Oryctolagus cuniculus: one gene and its partner. The main gene of each other region encodes a partner of the protein of the gene in region 2 in a complex. Links are inferred from orthologs where the notes say so. Each region holds a gene or a part of one and is shown on either strand. Other genes may lie near its edges.

Region 1 (7,620 bases), on a different chromosome or scaffold from region 2:
ACGCAAAACTGAAACAGATGATACGGATAGCGCCTTTCAGAAGTAGTACTGCCACTTTAATTAAGTCAAAGGCATACGTATGTGGAATAAAGCTGCTTTAATGTGAAGCCAAGAGTAAGTTGAGTTCAGAAAAAACAAGGGCATTTACTTAGCCCTTTTAGTTAAAGAAAGATAAAGACCAAAAAATGATAAAACTCCATCAACGGGAACTGTGCATCCCACCGACTGTAAGGCAAACATTGTGTCTTCTTTGTTTCACAGCCTGAACATCTGAACCCCAAGAGTGGGCGAGTGAGGAGAATGGCTAGTGACCTGGAAGGAGCTGTGCTCCCTGGGCACTGTAAGAGAGTAGGCAGTGCTGCCCACTTCTGCAGGGGCATCAAAAAATAACTACTCAACTGCATTCGCACTTCTCTGAGCGATTTTCCTCGCCCCTAAGAGAGCTGAGGCAATAACTGAAGTAGCTCCTATTTATTCGTATATACCAGGTAGGCCAAGTAGACTAGAAAGCAGAAAAGAAACAAGAGTCTAAGAGGGACCAGATGCTTGTCCTGAATTTTCTCGTATAATACACTCCTAACTGTAGCTGCTATCATCCAACAGATTCAAATGCTTTCCTCCACCCACTTCTCCTACATGGCAAAGGCTTTCCTCATCAGAGGGCAGCTGACTTCAGTAAGAGCATTTACAACATCTCAAGGTCTTCTTTTCATTAAAAAAGGTTAAAGAAAAATTGAGAGGCTACTTCCATGAGATTGCTCTCTTCGGAACTTTTGGGATCAAGTTCCTGTAGAACAGTGTTTCTGAAACCCAGGGAATCTGAGTAAACCTTATCCACAGAAAAAAAAGAGCAAGCAAAAAAATTTCCCAAGCCAGTCTATGGTATGGACCCAGGTTAAGAACTTCCACCCTATGGCACTATAGAAAGGATCAAAATCAGTGGGGAGCAGCATCCTTGGGGTCTCTCTCCTCCTCTGTTCCTTAACTATAGAGGAGGAACATGACAGGAGTAGTAGCGCAGGCTCACCAGTAAAGCTGCAGGACCCCACGCACAGCAACTCTGGCAGCACTGAGAACTGTAGGCACTCTGAGACCGCCTGCCGAAGCTTCCCTTCTCCCCCTGCACGAGGGCCTGATCTGCTTCACAGTAATAAGGTTCTCAGAGGATTCCTGTTTTGCCTTCTCTTTCCCTCTGTGTTTTCCAGGTATTTCCCCCCAATTAAAGTTCTTGAACTTCTAATCCCATGATGGGGTCCCTTCTAGGAGGACTCAAGCTACACACCTGCAGTGCCACAACTTCCACAGGGCCCTACAGGAGGGACCTCAGGGTCTGCCCGTTCTCATTCCACCTTTCCACTCCAACACAAAAGGTTCACCCCTTAACACCACATTTTTTAAAGTCATCCAGTGGGATGAAGCCTTCGGAAGCCAACAGACAACCGCCGGTCTCAAATCACAGACACCATGGGTAATTTTTGAGGGTTCTGCCTTCAGGTCCAATTCAAGATCTACCAAGGCTAAGTGCCAATGGGATGGGAGAAACAGATGTGTAGGGTCAAAGTAGCAACACGAGATGTGTAAAATGCAACACTGATTCACACAGAAAAACCTCTGGTGTTTACGTAACACTAAACATGGAACTGCACATTCCTAACAGAGGTCTGAAAAGTCATGTCGCTATTGGACACAGAAGCTACAGACAGGTCAAGCGAAACAACAAACCAACACACAAATCCTATTCCAAAGGACTAATAAGACCTTTTCATTTACAAGAGATTCCAACAAAAAGGTGTTAGAGAGCCCAAGGTCAGTTCTTAGGTGGGCCAGCAGGAACCAGTGAGCAAGTGCTCTGTGACTGCAGCCCTCCCCCAGCGCCCTCCTTCCCCAACACCGCCAGCTGAGGCTTTCAGTGATGGAAGAGATGGGAGTCGGAGGTAAACACAAGTGAGACTGTGTCAGAATCCAGCCATGCTGCACCACTTGTCCTGAATCATCTCTGCTCCGCTGATAAATCGCAGAGCGCGTGCATTAAAATGACTATAGCCCCTTTCTCCTAACAGAACATCCAATGATCAACAACCATTATTTTTCAATCAGCATGGTGATAAAACCTTGTCATAGAATAGGACAGATTTAATTAGAATTCCCCTGAAATTCTCAACAGAAAAAAAAATGCTTTTCTTTTGCAAGCTTTCTCTCTCCCCTTTATTCTTGGTTTATGATGTTAAGCTCTTAATGACAAAGAAGCCAAGCCCACTTAGCTAGTTTACCAACACATCTACAGCAAATCACAGTCATACTTTGATTTTAACCAAGCATGACAGCAAGGCAATTGAGCAGCTTTCCAAACTACCAGAACAGCAGCACTATCTTGCACAGGCTGGCGTTAAATCAGCACTTCATAAATTGCACAGGCTTCTGCCCGTTTAGATGATCTCTCTATGCAGAATCGGCGGTCTAACACTGGCTCTCACACGCATTAAAAATCATCACTCTGCTACCCAACTCACTGTTCAGACGGGTCTTCTTGAATGCAGCCTTTATTACAACCTCACTGCTGCTTCCTACACTGAAGGAATACCATGTTTTTAAGTCAGCAGCTCTTCTTTCTCCCTTTTTTGTAATCAGGGGTCTTGCAACGACCCTGATACTGTTACAAAGCACAGTGCTTTATAACAGTAAAGCTTCTGGAAAACCCAAACAAAAGACACGTCACCCGGTGACGTCAGCCTATATACAGTTCTGTGTGGTCGCAGCACATAAGCAAATCCATTCTTGTGCCGTTTCTCGGAAAAGCTTTTCAGTAAATGCACTCATGCTGCTCCAGGAGCTCTTCTCTGCAACAAGCCGCCCATCTGCCATCAACAAGTTAAGACGGGAGAACTAACGGCTGCGGAAAGGGGAGACCGAAGCTTTGATTAACCAACTGAGCAGTCACAGGAGGAAGAAATTAATAACTTACATTCAAAACTGATTTAGGGGATCAGAGCGGTCAGAGAAAACGAAACCAATGCTTTCCAGAGGAATATCCTAAGGAAGAAAACAACTCACCGATGGATCAATTTTACTAAGAAAGCCTGGGACACAGAAAACAGGACACTGGTCAAAGGCTCCTGCATGGTAGAGCCTTTTACAGACTCACTGCGTTGAGTCTAACAACCTCGACTGAATGCAGCCTCCAATGTGCTCAGAAGAATGGGTAAGTCTGTGCATTTCTATGTCCTGTACAGTCAACAAGGAATCACATTTTAAAATAAGCCATTGCATTCACATTTTATAAAGGAAATCACTGTCACATTTTGAGATTTTGCAATCTAGATAAAAGCATATATTGCTGTCTTATTCTAAAATGGTTTAAGTTTTGTTCCAGTCATACAAACAAGGATCATTTTTCTGCAGTAAATGAAAAATGAGTTATACGCAGTGAAATCTTTCACCATAATGTTGTGTTGTTGTTGTTTTAATAGTCCATACGTTCTGCTGAAAGATATCCTCTCTTCTTGTTTTTCTTGAACTATATTCTGCAGGCTTATATTTCAAGTGGCCATTAGGGGCCCCTATGCTGGCAGCAATATATGCAATGAGTATGATTTTAAAAATGCTGCCTGCCCTGGGTATGGCGTGTCCACCCAAATGCCGCTGCGAGAAGCTGCTCTTCTACTGCGACTCTCAGGGCTTCCACTCAGTGCCAAACGCCACAGACAAGGGCTCCCTGGGCCTGTCCCTGAGGCACAATCACATCACAGAGCTCGAAAGAGATCAATTTGCCAGCTTCAGTCAACTTACCTGGCTCCACTTAGACCACAATCAAATTTCAACAGTAAAAGAAGATGCTTTTCAAGGACTATATAAACTTAAAGAATTAATCTTAAGTTCCAACAAAATATTTTACTTGCCAAACACAACTTTTACCCAACTGATTAACCTGCAAAATTTGGACCTGTCTTTTAATCAGCTGTCATCTCTGCACCCAGAGCTCTTCTATGGCCTTCGGAAGTTGCAGACTTTGCATTTACGTTCCAACTCCCTGCGGACTATCCCAGTACGCCTGTTCTGGGACTGTCGTAGTCTCGAGTTTCTGGATTTGAGCACAAACCGTTTGCGAAGTTTGGCCCGCAATGGATTTGCAGGATTAATCAAACTGCGAGAGCTTCACCTGGAGCACAACCAGCTGACCAAGATTAATTTTGCTCATTTCCTGCGGCTAAGCAGTCTGCACACGCTCTTCTTACAGTGGAACAAAATCAGCAACTTGACGTGTGGGATGGAGTGGACCTGGGGCACTTTAGAAAAGCTGGACCTGACTGGAAATGAAATCAAAGCCATTGACTTGACAGTGTTTGAAACAATGCCTAATCTTAAAATACTCCTCATGGATAACAACAAGTTAAACAGCCTTGATTCCAAGATCTTAAACTCCCTCAAGTCCCTCACCACCGTTGGCCTCTCTGGCAATCTGTGGGAATGCAGCCCCCGAATATGCGCTCTGGCCTCCTGGCTGGGCAGTTTCCAAGGTCGGTGGGAACATTCCATCCTATGCCACAGCCCTGACCACACCCAAGGAGAGGATATCTTAGATGCAGTCCATGGGTTTCAGCTCTGCTGGAATTTATCAACCACTGTCACTGCCATGGCTACAACTTACAGAGATCCAACCACTGAATATACAAGAAGAATAAGCTCCTCAAGTTACCATGTGGGAGACAAAGAAATCCCAACTACTGCAGGCATAGCAGTTACTACCGAGGAACACTTTCCTGAACCAGACAATGCCATCTTCACTCAGCGGGTAATTACAGGAACAATGGCTTTATTGTTTTCTTTCTTTTTTATTATTTTTATAGTGTTCATCTCCAGGAAGTGCTGCCCTCCCACTTTAAGAAGAATTAGGCAGTGCTCAATGATTCAGAACCACAGGCAGCTCCGATCCCAAACACGACTCCATATGTCAAACATGTCAGACCAAGGACCGTATAATGAGTATGAACCCACCCATGAAGGACCCTTCATCATCATTAATGGTTACGGACAGTGCAAGTGTCAGCAGCTGCCATACAAAGAATGTGAAGTCTAACACCTACCCGGCACCAGAACGCCCAGCAGATAAGTCACCTCTGTTGCATAGTAGGGGCTGCATACATGCCTAATTTTTACCAATGATGACATTAAGCCTAATTTTCCAACCAAGTGGAGACTTAGTTTTTGAAGTGTTGAAGTATTTTTAATTTTTTAAATGAAATCATATTTTAAGTGTTAAATGAAGCAATGCTCACGTTAATTTGCACAACTGTTGGAAAGTCTAAAAATGCTTACTTCAAAATAAGACATTTCATGTATGTAATTATATACTGTTGTGTGTAAACATTTACACTAAGGTCTCCATGTGCTATTTTTTTCTACTGAAAACAGTTTGGAAAGAAACTATTGAGCAGAAACAGATACAGATCAATACCTGTTTGATCACTGCTCTCCATCCCACGCTCCACAACTGGCTTGCTGCTTCAAAGGAGACAGCAAAGTTCTCTTGTATGTTAAATTTGGTATTTACTCAAATCTACAATCTACTGCCAGTGTGGGAAGTAGAATTTCATGTATGCTAAGACTGATAAACATTAAACACTCTTCTTCAAGAGTTTTTGCCTGGGTTAGTAGCTATTATCAAAGTCTATATCATGCTTATCAGCACCCTTTATGTAATTCTAATAAGCAGAGTGTCTCTTTAATATATTTAAACAATCCAAGTGACTGTAAAAAAGTCTCATTACAGTGAAATGAATACTAAATAATTACACCGACTTTTTATCATACATCCCCACTCCGACTTGTAATGGACATGTTGATTTTTGTGCCATTTAGACAATTGTTTTAAAGTATTTAATTACCATTTTACTAATTAACTTACTAAATCCTGTATTTACATTTAGATGTGGAAGGAAAGATTCAGAAGTTATTTTGGACAGAAAAAAAGATAAACTGAGTCATTTTAAGAACCCTGACATGCTCTCTTGTTTTAAAGTACACACACACACACACACACACACACACTTTCTCTCGTCTCTCAACTGTCACGATCAAAGACGCCTTGACAAAGAGGTTTAAACCTCTTCCTTCTGCTGTTTCCTGATCTTCAAACCTCAAAAAGCCAAATTAAAAATAATTGGCTAGCAACAGGCATAACAATGAATTCTTAGACTATAAAGAGACCATTTTTAAAAATCATTTTATAAATATATGCCAAATTTTGGCCTTTTAACAAAGACACACATTCACATTTTCAGTGTGGTTCCTTCTAAATGAAGGGAACATATTACCGGGTGAATCTTACAGGAGAACACTCAACATGCCTATGCAGCCACACAGCGGCAACTCAAAGGCAGCACAGAGATGAGAAGCTGAAGAGGAAAGGAGATTTTGAAATTCGACAGCCGGGTTAGCCAAAGTCAGCATGCAGCCAAGAGTGATTACACACACACACACACACACACACACAATCCGTACCACACGCAAGGCCCCAGGTCCCACCACTGACAAGGGAAGAGGGAGGAGGTTCCCCAGCATAAATATAAACACTCCAGGATTAACAAATGATAATGATTCTACATTTTTCATACAGAAAAGAACCATGAGTATTCCATTTCTTTCAATTATGATTTCTATGGGAAAACTGAAATATCTGGCATTTAGTTGTAAGTTACCAATTCACATAGAATTTTTCCATAAACAAGGTCTCTTGTATGTGAAAAACTAAAAATTGGAGCACTAATTTGATTTCAGAAAAATAAGCATTTTGCAACTGTCACTTACTGTATGTGAAAAAGGCATGCATCTTTAGAGGAAATCACCACCATTAACATTTTTTTAAATCTTTTCCTTATCATCAACATTAATGAGGTTTTTTTCATTCAAGGAATACTTTCCTCTCAGGATTGAACTGAAAACACGTTAAGATTAGAGTTTAACCCATAAGATTTAACCGTAATTTTTCTTCTTCAATTCTGAGAAGGGTACCTACATTTCAAAGAAAACGTGCCTCAGTAAAAAGCAGACAACATCACGAATTATGGCAAAAATATACTCTAGGCTTTTTCAGGGTGGGTAGATGAGTTTGGCAAAATCTCAGTTCAGTTTAATTCAGAGGATCCTCACCACCAAGCATTTTGTTTCTTCTTAAGCCAGGGCCTGAGTTTGCCTGGGTACAGACAGAAACTGATTTTATGGCATGGTATGCAGTGTGTGAGCTCCCCACAGAGGGGCTGGATCAGAAGCCCCTACTACAAAGGAGAGCTCCACGAACTGAAATTGACCAACCCATTTATCAGGGTGACCACAGCCATTTGTCAGGTGACAGACAGCTTAGTCACAATAAAACTCTATCCTGAGCACTCAAGATTCTATTAACACTGAAGGATAAGTGGAAGAGGTTTTTCCATCATTTCAAACCACAACCAAAATTAATTCAAACTAAGTCAAAAGGTAAGGGAATATTGGCTGGGAATCCCCACATTAATCTCAAAGGTACAGTTAGTAAAATGGCCGTCAGCTGGCAAAATTCTTATTGTGTGTGGAAAAGCAAACCATTTCGTAATTCAGAGGAACAGCACAGCCAACGCCACCATGGCA
Region 2 (7,136 bases):
TTTAAATGATGACAAGAAGATGAGATGGTGGAGCTGGGGTAGTAAGTTAAAGGCTGAATGCAGTGATTTATTAGCAAAAGAAAGAAACTGGTAGGATGGAAATTAAAGCAATAAAATAGATCTACATCTCTCTTTCCCTTTCTCATCAGTCCCACACTTAATTTGTGCAGAAGCCAGGCTCCAAGAAACTGCACTGGTATCAGAGATGGAGCTTGGTGACTGGGCGGGAAAGCCAGGGAGAATTTTAGATGTTCGTTGGTACTGAGGCACTTTGCAAAATCCAGGGACAAAAGATACACACTTCTAAAATTTCTCCCAGAGGTTTTCAGGCTCTTTATGAGGAAATATATTGCAGGGTGCATGGACAGGTATGAGTGTATGTGTGTGTGTGTGTGTGTGATACCATAAACATATTACAATAAATGCATCTGCAGCTGATGAGTGTACTATATTGATCCTTCCAATGACTTCGGAATGAATTTGATTCTAGAAATGAAAGAACAGATTAATGAGGCTGTTAGTCTGCTTTTGAATTAGAGCGCTTCTTCCTTTGGCTGCAGTAAGGTTGTTTTTCAAATCCTTTTATTTCAGCCTCTAATTTGTGAACTCACCAGGTCTTTCCGGCACCCAGAGAGAATCCTTTTTCTCCATATAAATACTCTCTCACACACAATGAGCTTGTCTAAGAACTAGGAGAGCCAGTTGACCTCCCTTGTGATATATATATATATATATATATTTCCTTTCCTTTCTCCTCCATCTCTTAAAAATTGTCAAGCTATGCATTAGTAGAGGAAGAGGACAAGAGAGAAGGGTGAAAAGGGTTATATGATTTATGTAAAATTAATAAAATAATAGCCTCTCTCTCTCTCTCACACACACACACAGGAAAAAAGGCTTTCCAACACATGAGCTAGAGGATGGGGTTTAAAGCAATACTCTTCATCATAATGTTCAAGATTGATTTAGGAAATAACTAAAAATTTAACAGTTATCTGAATACAGTTAAAAATGAAAGCCTATTGGACAATATGTTATTTTCAATGATTTTTAAGAGCACCTTTCTTTGGTTTGGCATAGGAGTAGACACGATATGACTGGTGATTGCTGATGGTGTTGAGTGTATGAGCCATAATAAATAACATATTTTTTATTTCTTCTGCTCATTGGCAGTGTTTGTCTGTGTGTGCGTGCTGAAAGGCAGCCTCAGTCATCAATTTCATCTGGGAGGAACTTGAAGTGGGATCCCCGAGCTTGGTGGATCTCAGCTGACACCTGTAGGGATTGCTCTGTACTGAAGAGAAATGCTCTTAGCTCCCTCCATGGAGGAGCAGCAGCACAATGCGGCGTCATAAATTACTGCTAGTTTCAGCTTGTAGAGAAAAAAAAAGTGTTAATTGGATAGTGAGCTTCTGTGTCCAGGCAATACATTTGGAGTGCATATATGTGTGTCTCTATGTTGCATGGGATGGAGACAGTGGGAAATGGTGAAGGAAATACATGCAGTTGCTTAATATGACCAGATGATACAATACTGAGTTTTTTTTTTTTTCTTTATGTGAGTGTAATTGTTCCTGGTAGAAGAGTGACTTTAGTTAAAAAATCTATATTTATGATTTCTGTACCATTTCAAGAACCTGTCAGATTAGAGTTGAATAAAGAGAAGTAATTTACTAGTATAGTGAGTGATTCAATGGCATCGCTTTAAATTCTAGCATCCTAGAGTCATAGCAGCTGAGGTGACATACATGCCAACTGCTGTTCTGACATACAAATTCTAAGGCCTGACATCAAGATAAGGACTTTAAGGGGAGTTAGATCATTTTACTAATGGGTAAAATATTACATAGTTTACCCAGATTTAGAGAAAATAATATTATGGCAATTGAGATGTTAACCCCTGCCCCCTCCCCGCAAAATAAACAAATAAAAAGTAGCTCCAATTAGGAGATTTCTCTTATAAAAGATTATCCCTTTGATAAAGAAGGAAGAATGCACTTATTTGAAATTCTAAGAGACTCTCAGGAAACCATCAATATTCCTGCTCCCTCTCAGAAAAATGAAATGGTAGGAATGCTATACAAATCTAAACTGGCAGCCTCCTGCCGACAGTTTGATCTACTTTGCCTTTTGTAAAACCTGCTATTAACTGAGATTTGAATAGGTTGTATTTTTACTGTCTATGTATCCAGCACACAATACAGGTAGAAATCCTTAAAAGGACCTTTTTTTCTCTCCTTGTACATTTTGAAAATTAAACTTTCTTGGAAAAGGAAAAATAAAAGATCGCCATAATTAAATCTCTATTTAAAACCTGGTTACCTATTAACAGTTACAATAAACTACAAGGTGTAATGGCTGTTTGTGTGACTAGCAAACATTAAGCCTTATTTGTAGGCCAAGAGAAGAAAAAAAGCTCTATACAGTACAGCTTATTCATAGCATACATTCATACTTGCCTTATAATACTGTAATTGATTTAAACTTTATTTTTATTTTAATTTTCCACAGATTTCTGGGTCCTTCTAAAAAGACAATATCAAAATGTATCATCAACACACAACCAACTGATAGCTGGCATCTCAGCTTGGCCTTGCAGAGGCGGAGAACAAAGAAGGGGAGCTGTTGTGATGTGCACATCTAACAGCTTCTGGGTCTGAGTCCTACTGCTGGGGAGGTTTAAGAGCTGTAAAATCCAGCCTGGGAGGCCATGCACAAGACTTCAGTGTCAGCTGCTGTGGTGCTGGAAGTCCATGATATGACAGAAGCTGCAGGCCTTTGGGGTTAACAAGTGGTGTCCTCACGGAGGCAAGGAACCCCTCTCTCCGTTGTTTGAGACATTCCATCTGGAGGAGAAATACCGGAGGCATTCAGAACATCCAAGGATATTCTTGAGATTCCCCGAGAAAAGTGTCTGCTCCCGACTTCCTCTAACGCTTTTCCCTTCTGCTGGTACCAGTGGTGGGGCCTGGCAGATGATGGTGTTTCAGAAGTGAGGTATCTGCAGGGCAGATGACCTTAAACTAGTTCATCAGACTCAGATGGACCAGTGACGTCCCTGGTCTTCTGTTGACGCCTGTAACAGAACGGTGCCTCCAAAGTGTATCCTCCCTTTGGTCTGGAAGTTCTGTGGCTGCCCTGGACCACTGGGGTCACCCCTGTCCAGTTGGAAGGGGGCTGTTGGGAGAGAGGGAGGGGCTGCTGGAAGAAGAAGACAAGACCTAGAGAAAGGAGGGTGCCTCCTCCCGCGCCGCGACTGCTCTTCCTCTGCTGCGGACCCCTATTTCTTCACCACGGTGTCCAGGACCACCTTGACCCTGTCGGCCCCGGCACCCCCCCGCCGCACCCCAGCCCCGAGCATGGGGACGGCGCTTCTCCAGCGCGGGGGCTGCTTCCTGCTGTGCCTCTCGCTGCTGCTGCTGGGCTGCTGGGCTGAGCTGGGCAGCGGCCTGGAGTTTCCGGGCGCCGAGGGCCAGTGGACGCGCTTCCCCAAGTGGAACGCGTGCTGCGAAAGCGAGATGAGCTTCCAGCTCAAGACGCGCAGCGCCCGCGGCCTCGTGCTGTACTTCGACGACGAGGGCTTCTGCGACTTCCTCGAGCTCATCCTGACGCGCGGTGGCCGCCTGCAGCTCAGCTTCTCCATCTTCTGCGCCGAGCCCGCCACGCTCCTGGCCGACACGCCGGTCAACGACGGCGCCTGGCACAGCGTGCGCATACGCCGCCAGTTCCGCAACACCACGCTCTACATCGACCAGGTGGAGGCCAAGTGGGTGGAGGTCAAGTCCAAACGCCGGGACATGACGGTGTTCAGCGGCCTCTTCGTCGGGGGGCTGCCCCCGGAACTGCGTGCGGCCGCGCTCAAGCTCACGCTGGCCTCGGTGAGAGAGCGGGAGCCGTTTAAAGGGTGGATCCGTGACGTCAGGGTCAACTCCTCACAGGCCCTGCCCGTGGACAGCGGCGAGGTGAAGCTGGACGACGAGCCGCCCAGCAGCGGCGGCGGGAGCCCGTGCGAGGCGGGCGAGGAGGGCGAGGGCGGCGTGTGCCTCAACGGAGGCGTGTGCTCCGTGGTGGACGACCAGGCGGTGTGCGACTGCTCGCGGACCGGCTTCCGCGGCAAGGACTGCAGCCAAGGTAAGGCCCGACGCCCGCCGCACGGGGGCCCTCGGCCGGGGCAGGGCGCGGGGCGGCGGGGCGGGCCGGGCCAGGCCAGTGCATGGGGCCTTCCTTCTCCGGACAGCGCGTGGGGGCTGCTGCCCCGGAGGTGCAGGCCTGGTTCTACGGCCCCTTGGACTCACCACTTACCACCGCTCCTTGCTTGGCGCCCTCACGGTAGTGGAGCAGCCTTTTCGACTGGGAGCCCTTTCTTGCAAGCCTGCTTCCCTCCCAGAGGCCAGCAGAATGGCCTCTTGTCATTCCTGGGGTTCTTAGGAGCGATGGGCTCAGTCTTTCTTGGCCCGTTGCCCACCTAAATGGCCAGTAGACTTCCCTCTAGTACCTTTAAATCCGTACCCCCGGAGACTTTGCCCATAAGGGCAGACAGGCGTCTATGAGACTGGGTATGAACTTGGTGGAAAATGAAGTGCAGGCGAGGTTCACCTGGGCCTTAGTTGAGAATTCCCACGTGGTTACTCCTGTTAGAGAGAGAGAGAGAAAAACACGGGTTCACAGGCACTTGCTGTGGCTTTTGCAAACAGGGCTGAGACACTTGCTTTTGGTTGTGAATACAAGGCAGGAGGGGCTGTGAAGATTTCTTCATTAACAAGAGGATGTTTTCTGGACTTAGTGTTGGTTTCCATGGTTATGTCCAACATGTGTCAAATTTAAGTAAAATTTTGTGATTTCTGCGGTTTCTTGAATTCTGAGAGGTCAGCTAATGTTTTCTGAGAGCTTAGTGATGAAATAACAGGCTTCTCAATTACCCAGTGTGTTGGAAGAGAAATAGAATTAGATGTTGCTGAATTGGGAAAGTTCTGCAGGTTAACAAATGGGATGCATGAGAGGGATTGCAGGAGATTTTCTAAGAATATTCAGCTGATGGTATTGATCTGAGTAGTGAAGGCCGAGTTGCAATTTCCGGGTTCTTGGGCTTGAAACAGTGTGGAACTAAACAACAGAAATCATCCCGAAGTTTGCTACATCCCCTGTACAATTAAAGTTCAGGTCTCAGTGTTTTTCTCCCATGTTGTTACAAGACAATGATCAAGGAAAGCATTGTTGAATAAATTTGGGAAAACCTTTAAATAGAGAGTGATGAGAAAAACTTGAAACATGTTTGTATCAGTGGCTAAGCAAGAGAGAAGGTGTCAGGGTTTAAATAAAATAGCAAATGGGTCACATCATGGCAATCTACCTATGGATGAATGGCATTTGTGGCTGAAATGGGGAGGTGTGTGAATTGCTAAAAAGCCACAGGGAGAGAAGCTCAATGTGTGACTGTGCTTTATGGTGTAATGCCTTGAGCCTTGAGTTTCCTTTCTTTTTTTCTTGTCCTTTCTTTCTTTCTTTTTTCTTTTTGTTGTTGTTGTTGTTGTTGACACTGCTAGGGAGAACTAGCCTTTGTAAATCTTATTAGACTTGGCAGTTCTCTCTCACTTGATTCTCACTTGATTTTCAGAGAAATGAAGACTTGATGAAATTTGCAATTGTTTAAGCAGCAAAGGGAGTTAGTTAGGAAAAAACTGATCTTTAGGAGAGCTCAGTAGCCTTCATTGGATCAGAGGGGGGAAAAAGTTAAGAGTTATTTTTTTGCATTTTACTTTCGTGTAGGTTTTTGTTTTCTTTATATTTTAGTTTTAAGTAATTATAGAAGACTGAATATTTGGCCAGCACAGCACTTCAGTTTTACCAGTATGTTCCCATGGATGTAAGACCAGAATTCATATTTACGTTTTACAAAAATAAAACAGAATCCTTTTTTTCCTACCAAATCTAACTTAATTGTAAATCGTGACAAGGATAGCCAGATATGATGATTTCTAGAGCAAAAACTTGCAGTTGCATACATTTAAGATAAATGAATAAAAATCATTTTAGGGGAAAAAATGTCTGAAGTATCCTAATGCCACATTCCAAGACAGAGGAGGCAATTTAAAGAAGGACACACAATATCTAACTCCCTTTCTTAAATTAGGAAACAAATATGACACAGTGGCAGCTTGTACTGTGTGGGAGGGTATTTTAAATGAAAATTTTTATTTTTCTGTGCATTTTTAATGTAGGGATCCAGGGACCATGCATAATCAGGAATAGTTAAGAGAAAGCATCTAAAAAGAAACATATTAAAGAGGAACAGAATTAAATGTATGTGAAACATTTTATTTTGATAAATGAATCTCTTGCTATAAAAGGAGGAATTTGTAATTACAGTGGTACCTAATTGAACAGTGTAATACCTCATATATAAGAAAATTTGACCCAGAAAAGCAAATCCATCAGGATCACTCTGGAGCATTGATTCATTTAGAAAATTTAACTTGAAAACAGAGTGCAAAAATCACTAATCATGGAAGGGAAACAAAAGGGTGGATTCTTCCGATGCTCTGAGAAATGGAAGATGGAGTGGGAAAGGCAGACTCGGTCTTCCCAGAAGGATTGGCTCCATTTTGCTTATTTTCCCTGTTTCATGTGTGTCAAGTGGCTATTGAATAATTAATTGAGAATGAATGCCTCTCCCAGCACCGATCATGTATTGATGGTTAGGGAAAGATGATTTCTGTTCAGATGAAGTATAAACAAAGCCCTGCCTCCTGTCAGTATTTATACTAATTGCTGCATTCTTTATAAAAAATAGTTTCAAAATAAATAATTCCTCAATTCCAAATTTAGCAGAGAGAATTTAGGGGAAAATGTAGACAAGTAAATCTTAAATGTGAGTTCAAATTATCCCTGTTCCTAACAACAATTTCTTTATTAACTTGATAGGAGAAAGTCTAACAATATATTAGTTGCCTTTGTATTTAAGACACAATAAGAACTACTGAAAGGACAATAAGAATATATTAAGACTCTTCCCTGGTTTGTCCTGGCATGCAATGCCTGGAAACAATGTATGCACCTATGCATTTTTATCATTTATTGAATGAGCTCAGTTTCATCTTCTGTGTCTATTCAGGCCTAGCAAGTTTTACTTATTTACT

The links. The genes of interacting proteins can lie anywhere in the genome.
Region 1: the proteins of NRXN1 (region 2) and LRRTM2 are in contact, whole or in part, in a crystal structure (PDB 5Z8Y), measured with the Homo sapiens proteins. The link is inferred for Oryctolagus cuniculus from reciprocal best matches to the Homo sapiens genes NRXN1 and LRRTM2. Residues at the interface, in NP_001317021.1 of Homo sapiens: Leu139, Val158, Thr160, Arg236, Gln237, Leu238, Thr239, Ile240, Asn242; in NP_056379.1 of Homo sapiens: Asp343, His344, Gln346, Gly347, Glu348, Leu351, Asp352, Ala353, Gly356, Phe357.

Annotation. Positions count from the first base shown.
Region 1 is NC_091437.1:26,630,706-26,638,325, reverse strand, and holds LRRTM2 (leucine-rich repeat transmembrane neuronal protein 2), read left to right. Parts: upstream 1-3,061; 5' UTR 3,062-3,195; coding exon 3,196-3,199; intron 3,200-3,527; coding exon 3,528-5,074; 3' UTR 5,075-5,630; downstream 5,631-7,620. UniProt on the Homo sapiens protein: Involved in the development and maintenance of excitatory synapses in the vertebrate nervous system. Regulates surface expression of AMPA receptors and instructs the development of functional glutamate release sites.
Region 2 is NC_091433.1:151,720,604-151,727,739, forward strand, and holds part of NRXN1 (neurexin-1), read left to right. Parts: intron 1-2,511; 5' UTR 2,512-3,359; coding exon 3,360-4,131; intron 4,132-7,136.